Linked DNA regions of Schizosaccharomyces pombe. Changing the gene in region 2 together with the main gene of any one other region gives a genetic interaction. Each region holds a gene or a part of one and is shown on either strand. Other genes may lie near its edges.

The links.
Region 1: mutations in swi6 (region 2) and chl1 together harm fitness more than expected from each alone (negative genetic interaction), as found in Schizosaccharomyces pombe (3 studies listed by BioGRID, with this or other methods).
Region 3: mutations in swi6 (region 2) and mad2 together harm fitness more than expected from each alone (negative genetic interaction), as found in Schizosaccharomyces pombe (3 studies listed by BioGRID, with this or other methods).
Region 4: mutations in swi6 (region 2) and pic1 are lethal when combined (synthetic lethality), as found in Schizosaccharomyces pombe (2 studies listed by BioGRID, with this or other methods).

What each region holds. Positions count from the first base shown.
Region 1 is NC_003424.3:5,396,770-5,402,967, reverse strand, and holds chl1 (ATP-dependent DNA helicase Chl1), read right to left. Parts: upstream 4,224-6,198; 5' UTR 3,855-4,223; coding exon 3,216-3,854; intron 3,151-3,215; coding exon 2,958-3,150; intron 2,899-2,957; coding exon 1,196-2,898; 3' UTR 865-1,195; coding exon of another isoform or gene 858-864; 3' UTR 806-857; coding exon of another isoform or gene 735-805; 3' UTR 558-734; downstream 1-557. Other genes in the region: rpl4101 (60S ribosomal protein L41), read left to right, coding at 735-805, 858-864; GARP complex subunit Vps51, read left to right, coding at 4,889-5,368; trehalose-phosphate synthase Tps2, read left to right, coding at 5,773-6,198. UniProt on the Schizosaccharomyces pombe protein: ATP-dependent DNA helicase important for chromosome transmission and normal cell cycle progression in G(2)/M.
Region 2 is NC_003424.3:1,701,849-1,705,868, forward strand, and holds swi6 (heterochromatin (HP1) family chromodomain protein Swi6), read right to left. Parts: upstream 2,251-4,020; 5' UTR 2,154-2,250; coding exon 1,167-2,153; 3' UTR 558-1,166; downstream 1-557. Other genes in the region: Ino80 complex actin-like protein Arp8, read right to left, coding at 3,133-4,020.
Region 3 is NC_003423.3:3,292,620-3,295,752, forward strand, and holds mad2 (mitotic spindle checkpoint protein Mad2), read left to right. Parts: upstream 1-1,655; coding exon 1,656-1,725; intron 1,726-1,766; coding exon 1,767-1,913; intron 1,914-1,959; coding exon 1,960-2,354; 3' UTR 2,355-2,576; downstream 2,577-3,133. Other genes in the region: nrl1 (NRDE-2 family protein), read left to right, coding at 1-253, 292-1,202, 1,247-1,413. UniProt on the Schizosaccharomyces pombe protein: Feedback control that prevents cells with incompletely assembled spindles from leaving mitosis. It interacts with the anaphase promoting complex/cyclosome (APC/C) thereby inhibiting APC/C-dependent proteolysis, a step required for exit from mitosis.
Region 4 is NC_003423.3:2,767,397-2,773,044, reverse strand, and holds pic1 (INCENP-like protein Pic1), read right to left. Parts: upstream 3,838-5,648; 5' UTR 3,775-3,837; coding exon 3,617-3,774; exon of another isoform or gene 3,574-3,616; coding exon 675-3,573; 3' UTR 507-674; downstream 1-506. Other genes in the region: single-strand DNA-specific 5'-3' exodeoxyribonuclease Exo5, read right to left, coding at 1-161; PAN complex subunit Ppk26, read left to right, coding at 5,355-5,445, 5,494-5,588, 5,648-5,648. UniProt on the Schizosaccharomyces pombe protein: Component of the chromosomal passenger complex (CPC), a complex that acts as a key regulator of mitosis. Has a role in sister chromatid cohesion and condensation.

The DNA.
Region 1 (6,198 bases), 3.7 Mb from region 2:
ACATTGCTAGCATATCCTTTAAATTTATTGGATTATACATTTTTTACATGGTATCTTTTAGTACCAAAGGGTTAACGTTGCATTTTAAAATTTGTTTTTAATAGATGATTAAAGTAGCTCAAATTGTCAAGGAGTTTAACAGTTCGACTTAAAAACACAGTACTTGTTCCGGATGCTTTCAGTATCTTATATAGCAGTCTAATTACAATGTCTAAGAATAAATTTATACTATTCTATGGCACAAAAATGCGTTTCACCTTCCCTGTAGACTACTTACTAGACTTTAAAGAATGTTTATGATATACCTGTTCTGTATACGGTTTACAAACTAAAGTATGTAGTATGCTTGAAGTTTACACAGCGTTTGACAATAGATCGCAAGTCGTATACAACAACATCAGGTATGTTGTCATTAAAGGATAATATGAATGGATGATATAGCATTAAATGGATTATTATTAAATCTGATTTTGAAGAGCTGAACCTTTCAAAAAAGATATGCAAAAGGAAGCACTTAAAAATCACTTACTATCGTTGACGGATCATTTGAAATAAAATATGTAATTAACCACTTTTTGTATGTTTACATTTCGTTCCTTGACATACTAGAGTAATTCTGTTACTTGACTGTACTTTTGAATGTGTTACGTCCGTATTGTGTGTTCTTAAAAGAGCAGTCACAATGTGCTATACAGATGAAATATTGCCTAGTCTGCTAGTCATCCATAACCACAATGCGTGATAAGTGGAGGAAGAAACGCGTGAGACGCCTTAAACGTAAAAGAAGAAAGATGAGAGCTAGATCGTAAGTGTTGTATTATATTACTCAGACCTGCAGACTTCTAACTTTGAATTAGTAAATAAACGGATCATCTACAGCTCGATGGACTGAATTAAGCGGTCCCTAGCGTGACGCTTGGATATCATGGCAGAGGCCTCTTCCTGCTCTAAGTCGTAACTTTTCTCAAGTTGGTTTTTTTCTACCTAAACAACCTTCATTTGCGACACCATTAGTGCAGTCTTAATTGACGTTCAAAATAGATCTTGTTTTTATACCTTTGACGAGTAATGATTTGAGTAGTCGGTAAATACGAGAGAGGTGTATTTTCTAAAAATTATAGAGTAATCTATTTACAATATGCGAAGCGTAATTCTAAAATAAGCCTATGTTGACGCTGTAACGCAAACCATATGTCTAATCACACATCTTTTTAGCCCGGAAAAAAGTAGCAAGTTGCCGTATAGCAGGTCCGAAATTAGGGCTAGAATGGATGTTTTTGCTTAACCAGTTTGGTAACTTCCTTTGTATACTTGATCGATTATATCTGGAATCCAAAAGAATTATACTTGCATAATCATCTCGGTGTCGAATCGCTCGACCTATACTTTGATTTACTGCTCGCATACAGGTATTTTCATAAAATTCCTGTGAAGCTTGTTTTGCATTTATGCCTTTCTCCTTGGCCTTTTCCTCTACGTATGAGACCTTGGCTTGCCATTCCACATCTTGCGAGTTAGGGAACGGCATTCCTACCACCATTACGGCTCGGCCAAGTTTATCTGAAAAGTTGATTCCTTCTGAAAGTCTTCCTCCTATCACGCTAAACAACATTCCACTCAAGCCTGCATCTACGGACTGTTTATAGTGTTCAAAAGTATCCAAAGGATTATCGCCAAAATCTTTACTTTCAATAAATAATGGTTTTTTTGCATTTAAACGATTTGTAATTCCATTCATTTCCCATACTTTTACAGCTTGCTGCAAAAATGCAAAACTGGGAAAGAAAACCACGACGCCATCTGGGATAATGGAAATGAAGTTCTGAAAAGTCCTTCCCAAATCTTTTAATAAATTCTCATCGTCTTTTCTTTTATGTGTAAATTCAAAAGGGACGCCTGCAGGACCTTGAGAAACTAGAATGGTTGTAATATTTTCAGGAGGAACTATATGGTCACATGAAAATGGAAGTATACGAGATTGTTCATCTGAAAATAAAAGGGTTATAAAGTCATCAATCGGTGACATGGTGCCACCAGCTAAATTCACTGAACGACATTGTTCGGTCAATATCTCGACATGTTTGGATGGATCGAGTAACAAATATTTTAAATATGGATTGTCCCCCGTTTGTTTTTCGTAAAATAGTTTCCCCTCAGGAGCAGGGTTGGCGATATTCAGTAAGAAAGATTCTAATTGCATTAGGACCGGTGTGTATGGATCCTCTTCATATCCATTGCCGTTTGAAAATCTTTCACTACGAAGATCATTCAAAGACTCCAATTCTTGTGTCCCCAATGAATGCATATATTTCGTATAACCATCGACTTTTCTTGCTAGTTTTGAAACATTCAAGTATTCAGACAGATGGTGCAAGTTAATTTGATCCGCACCATTTGATACCAGTAAAGAATCGACATTGATCACTTTTGAATTCGTATTAGTTTCTAGACAATTTAAAAAAAAAGATTTTAGGTTATAGACAACTTTGATCAATTGCTTTATATGCATTCTATTATTACCATTCAGACGTTTTTCAAACCGCAGAAAATATTGTTGCAATTGAGTTTCAGCAATACAAACTTGTCTAAACGAGATGGAAGAAGAATGCATGGAACAGATTGCATCAATCAAGTTATGAGCTTCGTCAATTATACATATATTGTCTTTAAGAGTCAAATTAAGCGCATTTCGTGCTGATTCTTGTAGCAATAAAGGATAAGGTAGGGTCACAATTTGAGCTGAATCCACTGCTTCCCTCGTTCCGTAATAAGGGCAGACCTTTAAACGCTGGCCCAATTCTACGAGTTCTTCAATATCCATTATTTCAGCAAGTGCTTCATCCCGGAAGTCCCATAATTGAGTGTTGTCTTGTAAAAAGGGACACTTGTGAGCTGATCCTAAAATGTAAAAGTTAATATTAAACTGAATTTTCAATCTAGTGAAGTTGTTAAAGTACCTTGAAGCTCAATGCATTTTTCATTTAAAGCAGACGTTGGTCGAAGTTTCCGGACTTCATTATTAATACAAAGATTCTTACGAGAAGCCAAAGAAACTACTCGTATTGGCGTTGAGAAGGTTTGATTATTGAGCTTTTTAATTTCCTGAACAAGCTGTTGCAATTGAGAGTGGGTTCGAGAAGTAAAATATATCTAGCAGTAGGTTAGAAAAATATTACCACTAAATGAATATTCCTTATAAGCACCTAAATTCGTACCTTTTGAACTATAGGTGGTTTTTCATTATCGGGACTTAATTTTCGCAATAGTTCAGAGACTTTGGAACTGTAACCGTTATTAAATAAATCTTCAGATTGTTCAGAAGTCGATGGCATCGTATATTCTGCTGTAACTAGATATTCGTCCATCGGATCAACCGAAGTATTAGAATTATTACAATTGTCTGAGGTTGAGGCTTCTGCGTTTATGTTCCTCCTTTTTGTTTCCCTGTGGTATGTAGTTGAATTATTGCTCATTTGATTTTTGCGACTTTGGTTCCTCTTTCGAATTTCTTCAAGGCGCTGTTCAAGCCGTGCATGTGTTTCTTTTACTAGATCCTTTTGTATTTTCAAGTCTTGCTCTAGAACCCAATCTGGAATTTTTGAGGATGTGTTAGATTTATTGTCATTAGATTTTTCATTATCCTCAAGTAAAACACCTCCATGTTCGTCTAGCCAAGTAAGTGAAGCACAGATTAAACTCAAACTTTTTCCCGTTCCAGTTGGTGATTCAAAAATCCCAATCTTTCCATCGCTGATGGAAGAGTACAAACTGCGCATGAACTCTAGTTGGATATCGTATGGGGTATACGGGTGATGAAAATTGGTTTTAAATTTTACTTCTTTCGAATGACACATTTTAAAGGTAAAACAACCTTTTCAGAAACCTGGAAATCTTTCGTATACTATTTCGAGTTTTGATAACAGTAATTGCACATTACAGAGCCAAATGTAAGGTTCCCTTGTAAAATAGTTAATAAAGCATAAAATAACACCTTATAAACACGGGAAAGCGTATGTTTGAGCTTAGATTTTTCAGTACAACAAAAGAGAGTAGCGATGATACTAATTGAATTTACCAAATCATATGCAAGCTGGTTTCTGAAGAAGGAAGTACTGTTGCATAAACTCCATCCGTCAAACTGTCTATTTATATAACAAGAAGACTTTTCAACAAAATGTTAAAATGAACAGAAGAAACCGCTTTGCACGAGGTTAGGCAAGTTTACTGTATGTTAAAAAACTGTTTCAGTGTATACTGAAGTTAAAATATATTTGCAAATTTAAATCAAATATTCAACTACTTTTAAGGGGAGGAAACTAAATTTAAGAAAATTAAATATGCATTTCTAGTTTAACAGAAAGAATGAGATTTTGTTAAAAGTGCTAAATTCTCTTTCAACACTAAGCCTACAATTCAGTTTAGAAGAACAGCAAACGCTCAAAGGTTAAATAATATATATATGCTTGACGCTCTCTGTATTATCGAATATTATCATAACTAATGGAAATAACTATGGAAAAAGAAGCTGAAGTATGGTTATGTAATTTTCTAACGCGTGCAATCGTTAGTCTTGTTTTTGTCATCTACCAAAGAATCGCAATACCGCGAAAATGCATTTTTAAAATGCGTTGAGATTTTGCTACCAGATCAGCAATAAAAGTATCGAAACTTTTTAATCAAACTATCAATATGAAACAAAGCAATAGAATGTTTTAAAGAAATATTCGAAGCATCGATATATGATATAAAGATGTACAGGAGTACGTTATTCACTCATTTCTATCACTAGAGCATTTTCTGTCGGCAACAGTATTTTGTTCGTTGCTGGCCTTGTAGATACATTTATTTCATTATTTATTAAGCACTGTCGTTAAGTAAATTGTACAATATGTCAAGTAAACGCCGTCAAGCTTTAAGAGACTTTTATAATCTACCTGGTTCAAATAGCTCATCTTCAACTGTTTCTACAACTCGAAAACCGTCTAGCTCTAATACCGTTTCGCCAGTGGAAGAAACAGCATTAGATAAAGTTGATCCAGAGTTCTCAGATCCAAATTTCGATTCAAATGCTTACGTTTCTAAATTTATGGAGAAAGCCACACCAGCCGAATTATTGCAGCGTGATAAATCTTTGGTTGCTTCGATTCAAGGGCTTTCTGTCGACCATAGATCTTTGGTATATAATCATTATAAGCATTTGTTAGAAGCTAGTGATGCAATTAACTCTTTTTGTAAAAATTTAAATACACTTCTACCTGCATTAAACGATGCTTATCAGGCATGTCCAAAGCCTACAAGGAAAAATGGAAATAATGATACGTATTCAGCTCCCCAATCTTTTAATGGAAATGAATTTTCAGCGCCATAGTCGCAGATTTGTTCTACCATCTCAGTGTTAGCGTCTTCACATCATTTCAAAAGCTTGGGCAATGACGAACACCATCTCATTTATCAGTTATTCATAATTCATTAGTAAAAAGGTTCATTCATCATATATTCGTTATTCGCAGGGAATTTCCATTTTCATATCGGTGAATTCGGTGTCTTACTACCTCTCTCGGTCATTTGAATTTTCCGTCATTTAGGGTACACTGTCCAATGTAATATTGAGCTTATAGTACGGTCTCCTACTTTCTATACGTTTAATCATCTGCTTAAACAAGCGCAAACGACATTGATTTAAAGTTTTTTGCTAGCTTATTGTAGTGATTCATTGGTTTTATTCTCTATATTTCTCGTCACTTCTCCTCGGTGAAGTTAAGTGCTCTAGAAATGCCTTCAGGCGCGCAAGGAAATACTCAATCAGCTGCTTATAAACGTATTGTTAATGTCTCTCGAAATTTTCAATTTAAAGCAGCCTTAAATAAAGATACTCGCGAATGGACGTTTCAGCATCGTAGTAGTGGCACTGCCCTTTACTCAGCAATTGCTTCATTGGGAGATCCTAGTTCACCCTGGGACGCCGTGTACGTAGCTTCTCCTGGACCTGTACAAATTTCGGAAGGAAATGACCATACAGTGGAAACTAAGATTGATGAAGCTGCTGTTGTTCATCGTTCTTCGTCGATTGTCATAAGCCCAGAGGATCAAGAAATTTTTCTAAAGAAGGCTACTGAGTATTACAGGAAAAAGAACATAGAAGCTGATATTGTCCCTGTATGGGGCAAGGTTCAACGTGTACCACAAGCTAAGTCCTCG
Region 2 (4,020 bases):
CAATTTGAATAGAAGTCATATATATAACAAAAGCGCAACTTGTGACTAATAATTAGATTAAAAACAGTTAGAAATATAATAGTTATTATTTAATTTTTTAAAAGTCTTTGAGGAGCAAGCAAAAAGTCCAAGTGAGAACTCTGTTGTTCAGTCTCAGCATACAGTAGTGTCAATCGATAATATGTATTGCCGAGAGGGGACTGATGTCTTCATGTGTTGCTAGCAATAAAAAAAGATAACAAGGAAATTCGATAAATACATGTTCATTTGCAAAGTTTGCCATAATTTGCCATTATGTGTTTATATGGTAAATCTGCCAATCTGACATAAACATATTTAAAAAAAAAAAAAAAGAGGAACAAAATATGAATTTATCCCAGCTTCTTAGAAAAATAGCATAACCAGACTTCTTCATCATAACTTGCTTGTATTTTTTTTTGCTAATGTACAAAAGCAGCAACAATTAAAAATCTATAATTACAACTGTGTTTACATAGCAACAATTACATTCAAACCCTTATTTATCTTTAGCTATACAGCTATTCTCAAACGAATTTCTCAAGAGGCAACATAGTACTTGATAAAGATTCAAACTTGATACACTACATCTTGACCCTATCTTTGAGTTCAGTTGGTAACCCAAACTTAGAAGCATATGGAACAGAAGAAACGGAGAAGGCAGATATTCATGCACCCTCATTTTTGTTAACAAATTTATCTGCTGAGGTTTATGAGTAACGATTTTGCATGCATAAATTCTTTATTTAACGAGTAAAATTACGTTATTATTAGACACGATTTTGAATGCATGAAGAGCAGTGCATGCTAAATTAATAAATGGTAAAATTAAAGAAATTAGGTTATCTAGAATGTCAAACCTTAGGTTATTTAGAATGTCAAACCATAACGACAAAAGGTATTTTACATTTCTCAAGTCACTCGTAATCAATTCAATGTGAAAGAAAACAAAGGCGTTCATAAACTAGAATGTGATGTTAAGCGCCTAACAAAAATTTGTATAAGTATAATGTTAGATGCATTTTTCGAGTAAGAGAACAAGAACTCATACTACGACACGGGACTTGATAAAAGCAATAACGTCAGAAAAAAGCGAAATCTAATTTATAAACAAAAGAAAAAGAATTTTTTAAAGGAACACAAAAAAATTATTCATTTTCACGGAACGTTAAGTGGCTTTCATAAAATTGAAGCATCTTCTGAGGACATTTTTTATTGGTGATAGTACTAGGATGATGAGATATTGCACCGTTCTTCCAAGTCAGATAAATTTCCAAGGTTCCATCATCTTTTCGTTCAATTGTATCGATGCTAGATACCAAGTCTTCCCAAGAATCATAGTTTTCTACTTGTTTAACCGTCAGCTCTCTGTTGTCCGGAAGTTTGGGAACTTCCGGACTAGGCTTCTTTTTCGGAGTAACATTGCTAGGGGTCTCTGCTATTTGAATATCCTCACTTTCATTCGATTCTTTTTGTGAAGGAGATTTAGACTCATTGTCAGATTCAATGTGACCATTCGGCTGACCAGAAGGTGGGCCGTTCTCATTAAATTCCTCTTGCGATTTATCGGCGAATTTAATAGTTTTCTCATTCACATCTTCAATCTTTTCATTGGAATCTTTGTCGTGTTTATCTTCATCAGTTTTACGAGACTTTGGTGAAGGCTCCTTTGCTTCGGGCTTTTTAGGTCTTGCAGTCCTCTTTCTTTTAGAAGGTTCTGGTCTTCCTCCATGTTCATTCCAATATGCTTCTATCAACTGTTTGCAACCGCTACAATCGGCTTCTGAACTCCATGTATTATCACTGGGATCGTCATAACCTTCCCATTTCAAAAGGTATTCATAGCCTCCACCTTTTCTCGCCATACGGTGTTTTAAAACCTTTTCTACAACATATTCATCCTCTTCTTCTTCTTCTCCTCCTTCTTCTTCTTTGGCATTTTCTTTCAATTTCTTCGACGAAGATTTACTTTCATGATCGCTTTCAACTTCATTGTCCGACGACCCAGAGTCTGCTTTATGAGAAGCAATAGCCTCCTTTGTCATGCTTGGTAACTCTGGTTCCGAATCGTCGTCAATAACTGATCGTTTTGAAGTAGAGGAGCGCCGATAAGATCGAACACCTCCTTTCTTCATTTTTCACTTGTCTTAATATGAAAATAAACGAGATTTCAGAATATTTTAAAAAGTACTAAACATCAATTTCGCGTTGGTCTTTACAGGTTGTTTGCTCGTTTAGCGAGACATGTTTGGCTTGCTTTTCATGGTGTACAGAATGGCTAGCATCACATAGAGTTCGTTTATTAAAATATTGCATAGAAGTACTGTATTAATCGTTGTCTAAAAGTTGATTAACGACGCCTAATTTTGCTTAGATCACTATCAGTAATAATCATTATTTCAAAAGCATCTCAATTTCCTAGTGATTTACTTAATGCGAAATACGAAAATATTGAACAAATATTACCGTTAGAAATAAAATTAACATTTTAAGTAATGCTGCGAGTAACAAGATATTTGGCTGTTACGGTTGGCATGCTGATTTGTTTTCTAAAGCAATGCTGAGTCTCTCAAGATTGATAAACAATCTTAACTAGAAAACAATTCCACCTTTTAAATTTCGTAGGCAATCATCGTCAAACAACAAAATATATATTCTTATGAGGATTCTTTTTGCACTACATATTACACTGAATAACTTAAGTCGTCAACGAAGTCCCGAGTGGCTCAATCGGTTTAGAGCGTCTGACTCTTATGATGGTAATCAGAAGGTTGCGAGTTCGAGTCTCGCCTTGGGAGTTTATTTTTTCAATTTTTTTACAATGATACTACAATTTTTGGAATGTAAAGATTACTTAAATACAAAATGGTACGTTTAAAGAAATACGTACTTAGGGAAATTATGATAAATTCAACTTATTTGAGCACTCAAATATCAAAAAGAATGAGTAGTTGATGAAGTATCTTCAAAATTTCAAAAAACATGAACTTAGAGGCATCTGTACTGTTTTTGTAGACCATGGTTTATTAACATCTAAAAATAATGAAAAATAGCAAAAACATATGGTGTTGCATTAAAAAATTAGTAACGAATATGAAAGCATAAACATATGGTTTAGCCAGTCCAAAAATAACCCAATGTCTTGTATTGCAAGACACGGCTACCTAACATTTTCCAATCGCTGTTTTTTATCCACAGCTCCGATACGATCCGAATGCGATTGTATATACAAGCACCCTTCCAGGCAACAAATTGAGCATCCATACTTCTTGGTGGAGGAATTACCGAAATAGTAGGGATGTTGGCACGCTTGGAATGGATACGCTCTTCCAGTAAATGAGCAAAGCCCGGGAACTGACCAGCTCCACCGACGATCAAAATGCTTGAGTAAAGATTTTTTGCCTTCTCATCACTTAAATTTCCATCACATGCACTAAATATACTCTGGTTGATTGCATCATCCAAAGGATATATCAGTTTCTCATTCTTTATTTCTGGAGCAGCAAGTGAGCCACAATATACTACCCGTGGAGGCTTGAATTTTACCGAAGGTGTCACCAAATCACTTTCTTCTTTTTTCTCTTCATCATCTTTTCCATTAGCTTTGATGTTGGATATCGGCGTAGATATTTGCAATAAAGTGGTTTGGGCAAGTGATTCGGGATTATTCGGTTGGTTGTCATATACATCGACCGGCACTGGAAACAAAGTATACCGATCATGAAGTTTATTTTCATTTTCAAAAATGTCAGGGCGAAAGAATCCAAGAGGTGCAAGCATTGTTTCGTCAAGGCTTTTAAATGTAAATTTTCTAGTCCCTTTATCAGGTGTTCGCGAAAAGAAGCTATTCAATTGAACATTATAGGTTGCTTCACTTAGGCCACAATATTTTATTTTTAAAGCATTGGCTAAAGACCAATCATACGGAGTTTTTAAGTCAATATCCTGATACGGGAAATGACTTCTCATGAGTAATTTCATGAATAAAAGCGTAATGTCATC
Region 3 (3,133 bases), on a different chromosome or scaffold from region 2:
AGAAAAACAGCTTTCAATTTCCCTGTAGTATACTACCTTCATACATTGATCTCTTCATTTCTCTTATGTCGTTTAAAAATTTAAATTTCAAGTTATTTGATTACAACCTTGCACATCATGTGAAGGAATCAATGGAGCGTGCTTTTCATCAACTAGTATTTTCGGCGGACGATGAGTATTTAGCGAGCGTTTATTTAATTTATTTAAAGCAAATGGAGACGAAGAACCTAAGTGAGGAGAAACCCCAAGTGAAGTAAGTAGATGTTTTTGTTTCCTTCTAACCAAATTCAGTAAAATTGTAAAGAAGATTCTCAAAAAATACGATAGTTCAGTGTCTGTTTGGAACACTTACGCTCAATTGGAACACTTAAGTGGTGCTTTTACTATGGCTGAAACAATTTTTAAAACAATTTTTCAGATCCATGCTTCCCAATTGCGCTACATTGATAATTTAAATGTATACAAAAACTGGGCTTTTAGAAAGCTACTTATTAATGATACTGAAGGATGCTTAGTTATTATAAAATGCCTGTTGTTTCCTGGTGATAAATCTTTAACTAGCGATAATAATCGAGCATCCGAAATGCTATTTGGTATGTTGGAAAATTGCGCCAGCAAGGAAGAATTGCTGTATGTTTGTCTTATCTATACTATATGGACACACTGTACTGATATGGATTCAATGGATAATTGTGTGTATTTATGCATTCAAAAATTCGAAAGCTATGGATGGGGGGCTTCTTCAGAAATGGAATGCTATTTTTCTTATTGTTCATTGATTTTTTATTATCAAGCTACCACTCTTCAATTCTATAATCTACCCAAGGTTCGACCTTTTTTTGAAAAGGGAGTTACACTTTTCAGTGCAAATACGGCTATATGGGAAGTTTATATATTTTTTGAATCTAAGTTGAGACAAGAGAACAAACCAAAAATTAGGGCTATGAAAATTTTAAAATCTGCTTCAAATGCTGTTGTTACAGCTTGTTGGTACCTTTTTTATGTTGCCGTTCAACAGATTGAGCCAACAAACTCACAGTACTTTTTAAGGACTTTGGATATCACTCTAAATAATGAAAAGTTGAAATCCGTCGCCAAGTTTTGGAGAATATATTTAAAGATTCTCAATTTGCGATTAAATGGTACTGAATGGGTTTCGGCGATTACCACCAAAGCATTGGCTTCCTGCCCCTGTAATAAAGGTAAGTTAATTAAAAACATAGAACATTTCACTGACTAAGTTTAGGGGTTTGTATGGACGTTATAGACTTGCTCTTGAAAAAAGAGATGGAGAGTCGGGCTATTATTTGCTATATAATCATGTTGGAAAAAGGCTTTAGAGTCCATAACGAAATAAGGAGAGATGTTTTAAAGTTTGAAAGAGGAGATGAACTTATTTTGTCCCCAAACTGACATTATTACGATCAATGACTTTTAATGATAGAGATAGTGAAATGAGTTTAAAATGACAGATTAGTTACTTTCAAGTTTGCGTAAATGCTTTAGTAGTCTTATTATTAAAGTTTTCACTTTTGTTTGTTAAATGCTTATATGGTTGCTTTTACGTTGAAAGGGTACCTCTAAGCAACCATCATGGCAGTACCTACTCAATTACTACACAACCTATTGCTTATTACAAAAATCTACAACACAACATGTCTAGCGTTCCCATAAGAACGAATTTTTCACTGAAAGGTTCTTCCAAACTTGTTAGCGAATTTTTTGGTTTGTAAATGTTTCAAATATGCCATGCTAACTTAATGAAGAATATGCGGTGAACTCAATCCTTTTTCAACGAGGAATTTACCCAGCAGAAGACTTCAAAGTTGTTCGGAAATATGGATTAAATATGCTTGTCAGTGTAGATGAAGAGGTCAAGACTTACATTCGAAAAATTGTATCTCAGTTACACAGTGAGTTGTTGTTCTATTATCACTTTTGGAATTAACAAATTTTTAGAATGGATGTTTGCAAAAAAAATTCAAAAACTGATTTTGGTAATTACTAGTAAATGTTCAGGTGAAGATTTAGAGCGGTGGCAGTTTAATGTGGAGATGGTTGACACAGCTGATCAATTTCAGAACATTGGCAACAAAGAAGATGAACTGCGAGTACAAAAAGAAATTCAAGCTCTAATTCGTCAAATCACTGCTACAGTGACCTTTTTGCCTCAACTAGAAGAACAGTGTACGTTTAACGTTTTGGTATACGCTGATAAAGACAGCGAAGTTCCAACAGATTGGGTAGACAGTGACCCTAGGATTTTAAGAGATGCTGAACAAGTTCAATTACGAAGTTTTAGTACGAGTATGCACAAAATTGATTGTCAAGTTGCATATCGAGTGAATCCTTAGTTGTTTTTTTTGGCATGATCCTTACCTATTAGATGAGATAATAGAAAACAAAGCTTTGATGTGTTCTATAAATCTCAAAATTCCGGCCATATTGTTTAACTATAATTCGGTGAATCCTATGTTTGTTTTAATGTCCAATATTTATAATTTTGTGACGCATCTCTATTCTATCCATTTATTTAATAATACTTTTGCATTCTTTAAAATATAATCATCTTCTCTTATTCATTAAACAAAATACACTATAGCAACAGCTCGCAATGATGTTTTCATTGAAACTTTGCGGCAGTAAATCAACATTTTAAACTGATGGTAGCATTTGCGAGGTAAGATTCTATATGCCAAGGTAACGACATTCATCTCTTGAGGTAGGTTTCTGACTACAAAATGAACACAGTAGCAAATAATTTAACAGAATTGAACAATGTGTATATCATTTTAAATATCAAAGTTAGAAATTCTAATTTAGTCAAGACGTGTTCCTCAATTTTTTTAAGACTGTTGAGAAGCTGGAATATTATTGTTAACGGAGTTTTCCGTATTTAATAACATTATCACTAATAAACATTAACTCGCGTTATCTATTAATAACGATTCAGTATGTATGACATCTATTCATCAGTTACTTAGCCTTTACTAGTACTGAGTGTGAATCATCGTTTCCTCAGAGAATACCAAGACTTGGACGGTTCCTCTTTTCTCTTTGCTTCTTGAATTTTGGGGCTATCTAGTTTTTTTTTGAAATTTCTTAAAGATTTATTCTTAAAAGCTTGAGGATT
Region 4 (5,648 bases), on a different chromosome or scaffold from region 2:
TCGTCCTCTAGTTTAGAAATTTCCCTGCTTACGAGCAATTGTGGTGGAATGCTCAAAGAATAATCCAATTGGCTAATAGTCAATCTTTGTGTTTCAAGATAGTCCATATAAGAGACTAATTCGCTCAAATCTTCCATCTCAAAATCTTCATATTCTTCCATAGACTTAATGTTTCGTTAGGATGATTTATTCAGGTGCGGGTTACGTTAGTTCACACATTTAATAGAATAATTCTTTTTTTTAAAGTAACCAACCAGACGGTAAAAAAGCTTTACACTAGTTTTATTAAAATGGTGGAACGTAAATGTCTAGTGTAACCAAAACTAGCAATGTAAACTGTGCTAAACTATTGATGATAGAAGTACTTTCACAGTTTCTTTTCGTTCAAAGAAATTAAAACTTTGAACAAGTAGATTAAGTTTCTGGCAATGTCAAACTACGTTTGTTAATGGCTAATGTTATTGCGGCACAAAAACTAATTATCAGCGATGCTTCAATGTCTAAGATGGAGGTCTATTTCATTATAATTGTTATTAGTAGATTCAAAAACCTTTAATCTAATTTAATTTTGTCATCTAACTCTATGCAAATTGTTTCATAAGATAAATTAAAGTATTTCTCTATTAATTTCCCAGTTCTTTAATATACAAAATTCATTTCAAAAATCCAGAACTCTATAAAAAACCCATGTTTTTCTTATAGTTATCAATTTCTGCTTGGGTCAAACGATCTTGAGATGACCAGTCAGCAGAAGAGCTTCTTGGTCGAAATCGAATCTTCGATCGATCCTTCGATCGGAAATACTCATCCATTTGCAGAGGTTTAATCATACCGAAAATTTTGTCTGGATCCCACTTTTGTTGTCGTTTTAATTGCTCTCGTAACTCAGGTGATTCAGCCCACGATGGTAAATTTACCTTTTTCTTATTACCTTCATCATCTGAATCATCCGAATAATCGCTATTTATTTCTGGTAATTCCACAGACGTGTTAGGCGATAGGGATCCATATCCAGGAAAATAATTCGACTTAGGCGTTTTCAGTAACGGTGATTTAGAAGAGGGCTCCTGCATAGACGAGTTCCTACCTTTAGCTGGAGCGTGCATAGAAGCTTTTTCAATAAAAGGTTTATTTGATTGTGAAGTACTAGAAGATGGAAGCTTTCCTTTCATAATACCATTCTGCTTAGTAAAAGGGTTGACGTTGTGATGCATTGTTTTGAATCCATGTTGATTCGTAAGACCGACATTACCATGTACGGGATTCTTATTTTTTTGTGCAGCTATCTTCTTTTTTCGATCTTCATTCTGACTATTAGTGGTCCCTATATCGAAGTTGTTTCTCAAACTACCAACAGAAGGCTGAGTTACAGAAGTAACTGAGTCAGGCTCCATTTTTTTTGGAATAGTTGAATGAAATGCCAATGACATGTCCTCAGCTAGCTCATTCGCAAACCTTTGAGTGGGTTTCGACGTGACGCGTGTTAACCCAGATTTTAGCATATGCCTTGAAGTTGCACCGTTGTCGGTTAACGGTTTCTTCTTTCGTAAATCTTCTTGTCTTTTTAACATATTTGAATGCCATGAAGCATTCACATTTGATGGGTTAGTAACAAGTCTTTTGGTCGTTGGTTTTTCTGATTTTTCCTCAAATGGCTTATTTGAGTGCATGCTTTTACTTGATGGTATAGCATCTGGTTCAGAACGAGGTTTATCGGAAATAGTATGTTCCATATCCCTAATGTTAGATGAATTGGCTGATGTGACAGTTTTGGTCTGACGACTTGGAAATTCGTTGTTTGATAACTCTCGTTCTTTACCATAGAACTTTTTGAAGCGATGAGTTTCGTTTTCAGAAGAGCGGCTTTCCATATTTGAAGCATTTGCTGCTCCATTTTTTGCTTTTCGCTTTTCAGTTTGCTCAAGTTCGCGTTGAGAGGCTGTGGCCACACGAATTGCAATCGGACGTGAATGCGGAGCAAAGTTGTGATCAGAATTTTGACGAGAATCATCATGCAATGGTTCAGATAACTTGTGCAGAGATTTTTCAATAAATTCCTTCTTGGAAGGCGGCAAAGAAGAGTCCGTATTTTCGTTTGCATCCGATTTCAAAGCGTTTGAGCTTGGTCTAGAATTTGAAGAATTAAAATCATTTGACGACTTTCTGGTTGAAAGCCTTGTGAATGTGCTTATCAGGGGGATCTTAGGCGCTTGAGTGATTACAGCATGACTTTTTGCAGGGCTTAAGGAAGACTCGTCGTTTTTATTATTCAGCTTCATTTTAGCAAGGTGCAAATCCTTAGCTGCAGAGTTTTTAGCAGCATCTAAAACTGCATTAATCGGTTTCTTCGTGGGCGGAGTCGAAGGAATTAATCTTTTATTAGAACTTACTTCTTGTATTTTCTGCCTTAATCGTTCGGCACGATCATAAGTTTTCAGTTCATAGTGGTTTTCATTGGAGGCAGTTAGCTCGTTCAATTTAGCAATAGAATCGGGAATTTTGGCTTCAAAAAAGTCAAACTCTTGACTTTTGGCATCACTTCCAGGTTGAGAAGATACAGGTAGTCTCTCTTCATTGGATTTTAATTTGGCCGTTAATGCCTCAGCTTCTACTGCGTTGGATTTATCGAAGGAAGTAATTTCGGGAGGGGATTCAAAAATAGTTGGATGAGGTTTAAGCATTTCATTTTCGACAGACCTTTTTCTTTCCTTGGAAGAAGAAGTAACAGTTTCAGAAGAGAAGGCGACTCCTGAACTTCTTTTACGAGTTTTGTAAGAAGTCGATAACCTAGTAGACGACGTGAGCGATTCCTTGGCTGATAAATCTGTCTTGGCGGGGATGACTGATGAAAGGAATTTTCGAAATTTAGAAGGACTAGAGGACACATTGGTATTTAACAAAGAAGAAGGAGCATCAGAAGTAGTTGAAGGTAGTGCCTTGATAGGTTCATCTAATGAAATTTCAGGATTATTCGTTAAGTTGTCTTTAGTACGCCGGCGATTTAACTGATTTATAAATGAATTAGTTGATTCCACACGACTGTGTAATGATGCAGGTCTTTTCAAAATCTCTTCACGTTTAGGTAAAGTGACAAAAGAATAAGCGGGGTGCTTTTGCTTTGGTAATTTATTAGGACTGTCAGCAGTTTCTGATGGGGAAGGCGAAGTTTCACGAAGAGGAACGTTCCATTCAGTAAAACGACGCTCTACTGAAGTAGGACTAAAAGCTGGCAAATTAGTCGGCAATCTCGTTTCTTTAATAGGAGATACACCACCTTTAGTAGATTTATTAACTATATCATCTTTGACATATTCAGAAGATAGCTTAGTAGAATCCCTATCATCATCAAATTGGGTTTCTGTATTAGTAGCAGTATGTAATTCTTTAGGTTCCTTGACTGTATTGGATTCACCCGACTTATATCCTTCAACAGCAGCTTCCTCAAGCTGATGTTGAATAGATGTTAACCGCATGCGAGGCGTTGGTAACGCACATCGATGTACAGGACTTAAACGAGGAGTGGAGTACTTCTCCTTTATCTTGGTAGGTGTTCTCACTAATTCATATATATCCCTAACCATCTAATTAGCACATATGATAAACAACAAATGCGTACGACTCTAGCTGTAACTTGGAAACTTCAAGCATGTGTTCATTCAACCAGTCCATGGTTTCAGATACAAGGAAGAAGAATTCTTTCATTTTTCCATTAGTGAGTTGTTGGGAGTATTCCAACTCCTTATTAAACCATAGTTCTGACCCATTAGAGCCCATCCTGTTTGGTTACATATAAAGAATGAGCTAGTTGCTGGAGAGTGGTCGGTGGTGGAAGCAATCAAATGTCAACAATATACAACAGTAGTTGTATACCTAAGCTTCCAACTAAATTTATAAACAATTATGCTTTCCCAATTTACAAATGATCAAAAGGTTTATTGTTTTCAAGATTTAAATGTAAATATCAAGTTCCGATGTTATAAACAATTGTTAGGAATATAGACATCGGTTAACGACGAAGAGGTTTTTAACGAAGTAACACTTTAAGCCATACATTTTTTCGAGATGCCGATGCTGATTTTATTGCAGTAATTATTGAGTGGAATAAGCAACCCAATGCATGCAACCTATCGTTCGTTTGATCAGCAGACAGAGTTAACTAGTTTGTGTTCAAATATCTTTCACCATTTGTTTATGTTTAGTATATAGCAAGCGGCACAGACATAAAAGTTTCTATTGAACGGCTACAAGCAATTTGTCATGCTTTATACGCTTGTCATTTATTGGATTTTTTTAATGATTCGATCTACAATATTCACGCATTTTCTCCATTTTTTGTTCACATACTTGCCATAGCTTTTAAAAATAATTTTTCCAATCAGACAGAGATAAATGCCAAATATCATACACTTGTCTTTAAGTTTTCAAGAATGTATTAAAACATGGGTAACCATTCTCAAAAAATTAAAAGCTTATTCAATACAAAATTCACCGTTCTCTTTTCATTTTGAGCTATTTTAACTCAATTAGACTTTTCATTCCTTACTCTGTTTTAGAGGACAATGTAAAGAGAATAGGGTAATAAATATGCTTTTATAATTGACAGTCTGTTATTATTCTTTTTAGCAATTTAAATATTTTTCTGAATTCCTAAAATTTCTTTAATTAATTAAATAAATAATATATACTTTTTTGTCTGACAGATCAAAAAAGGAAGGGTGTCCGAGTGGTTATGGAGCTAGTTTAAGGCACTAGTGCGAAAGCTCGTGGGTTCGAGTCCCACCCCTTTCAGTAATTTTTTATTGCATTTTATAGCAAAACAGGGGAGTGTGAATTTGGCAAGCTGTTAGTTTCTATAGGGAATTTATAACTGCGAACTAAGTTTTCTTACTTGCAATGGCTATATATGGGAGGCCGAATTGCTTGAAAAACATAGCTTTGCATTTGAAACAATTCGCAAAAGTTGGCACTAAGGAAGAAGTTAAGATAAAAAAAATTCAGTTACTTTGGTTTTATGATTTGCAATTAAATTACAGTGATCGCAGAAAGATAGCAGCATTACGAAGACATGTTCAACTGCTACATAACACTTGCTATTGTTAAAGTTTTCGAAATAGTTACTGCCCGTTACATGTAAAGAACAGATAAAAAATAAATTAGAATTACTGTCTTCTCAAATGCTTAAATATTACTACTATGAAATTGTTATATAAACAAAATGTAGCGTTGCAAAGTATTACAGTAAACTTCGTTGTGCTGCATTATTAGTATTGTCCGGGACTTACTGATTCCACGACCTGTAACTAAATTGCTATAATCTCAGACTGTTAGCTTGGGATTGCCTGGAAATTGACAGGATGAGTGTGAGGAAGAATTCTCCTGCAAGCCCAAAGCCAACTTCCCGTTCTAGGGAGAGTTCCAGGTCTCCGTCAGTGACTGATTTGAAAGGTAAATGGAAATTCAAAGCAAAACTTGACTGACCACCATTTTTAATAGACCATTCCAAAGCTAAACGAACATTATGTAGAAATATCTTACTTTATGGATCCTGTAAGCATTCAGAAAATGGATGTGCTTTTCGACATGATGGTGTAAGTATAGGCGTATTCTCTTAACTTCAGAGAAGCTTCTTGCTTACGATTGTTTGTAGC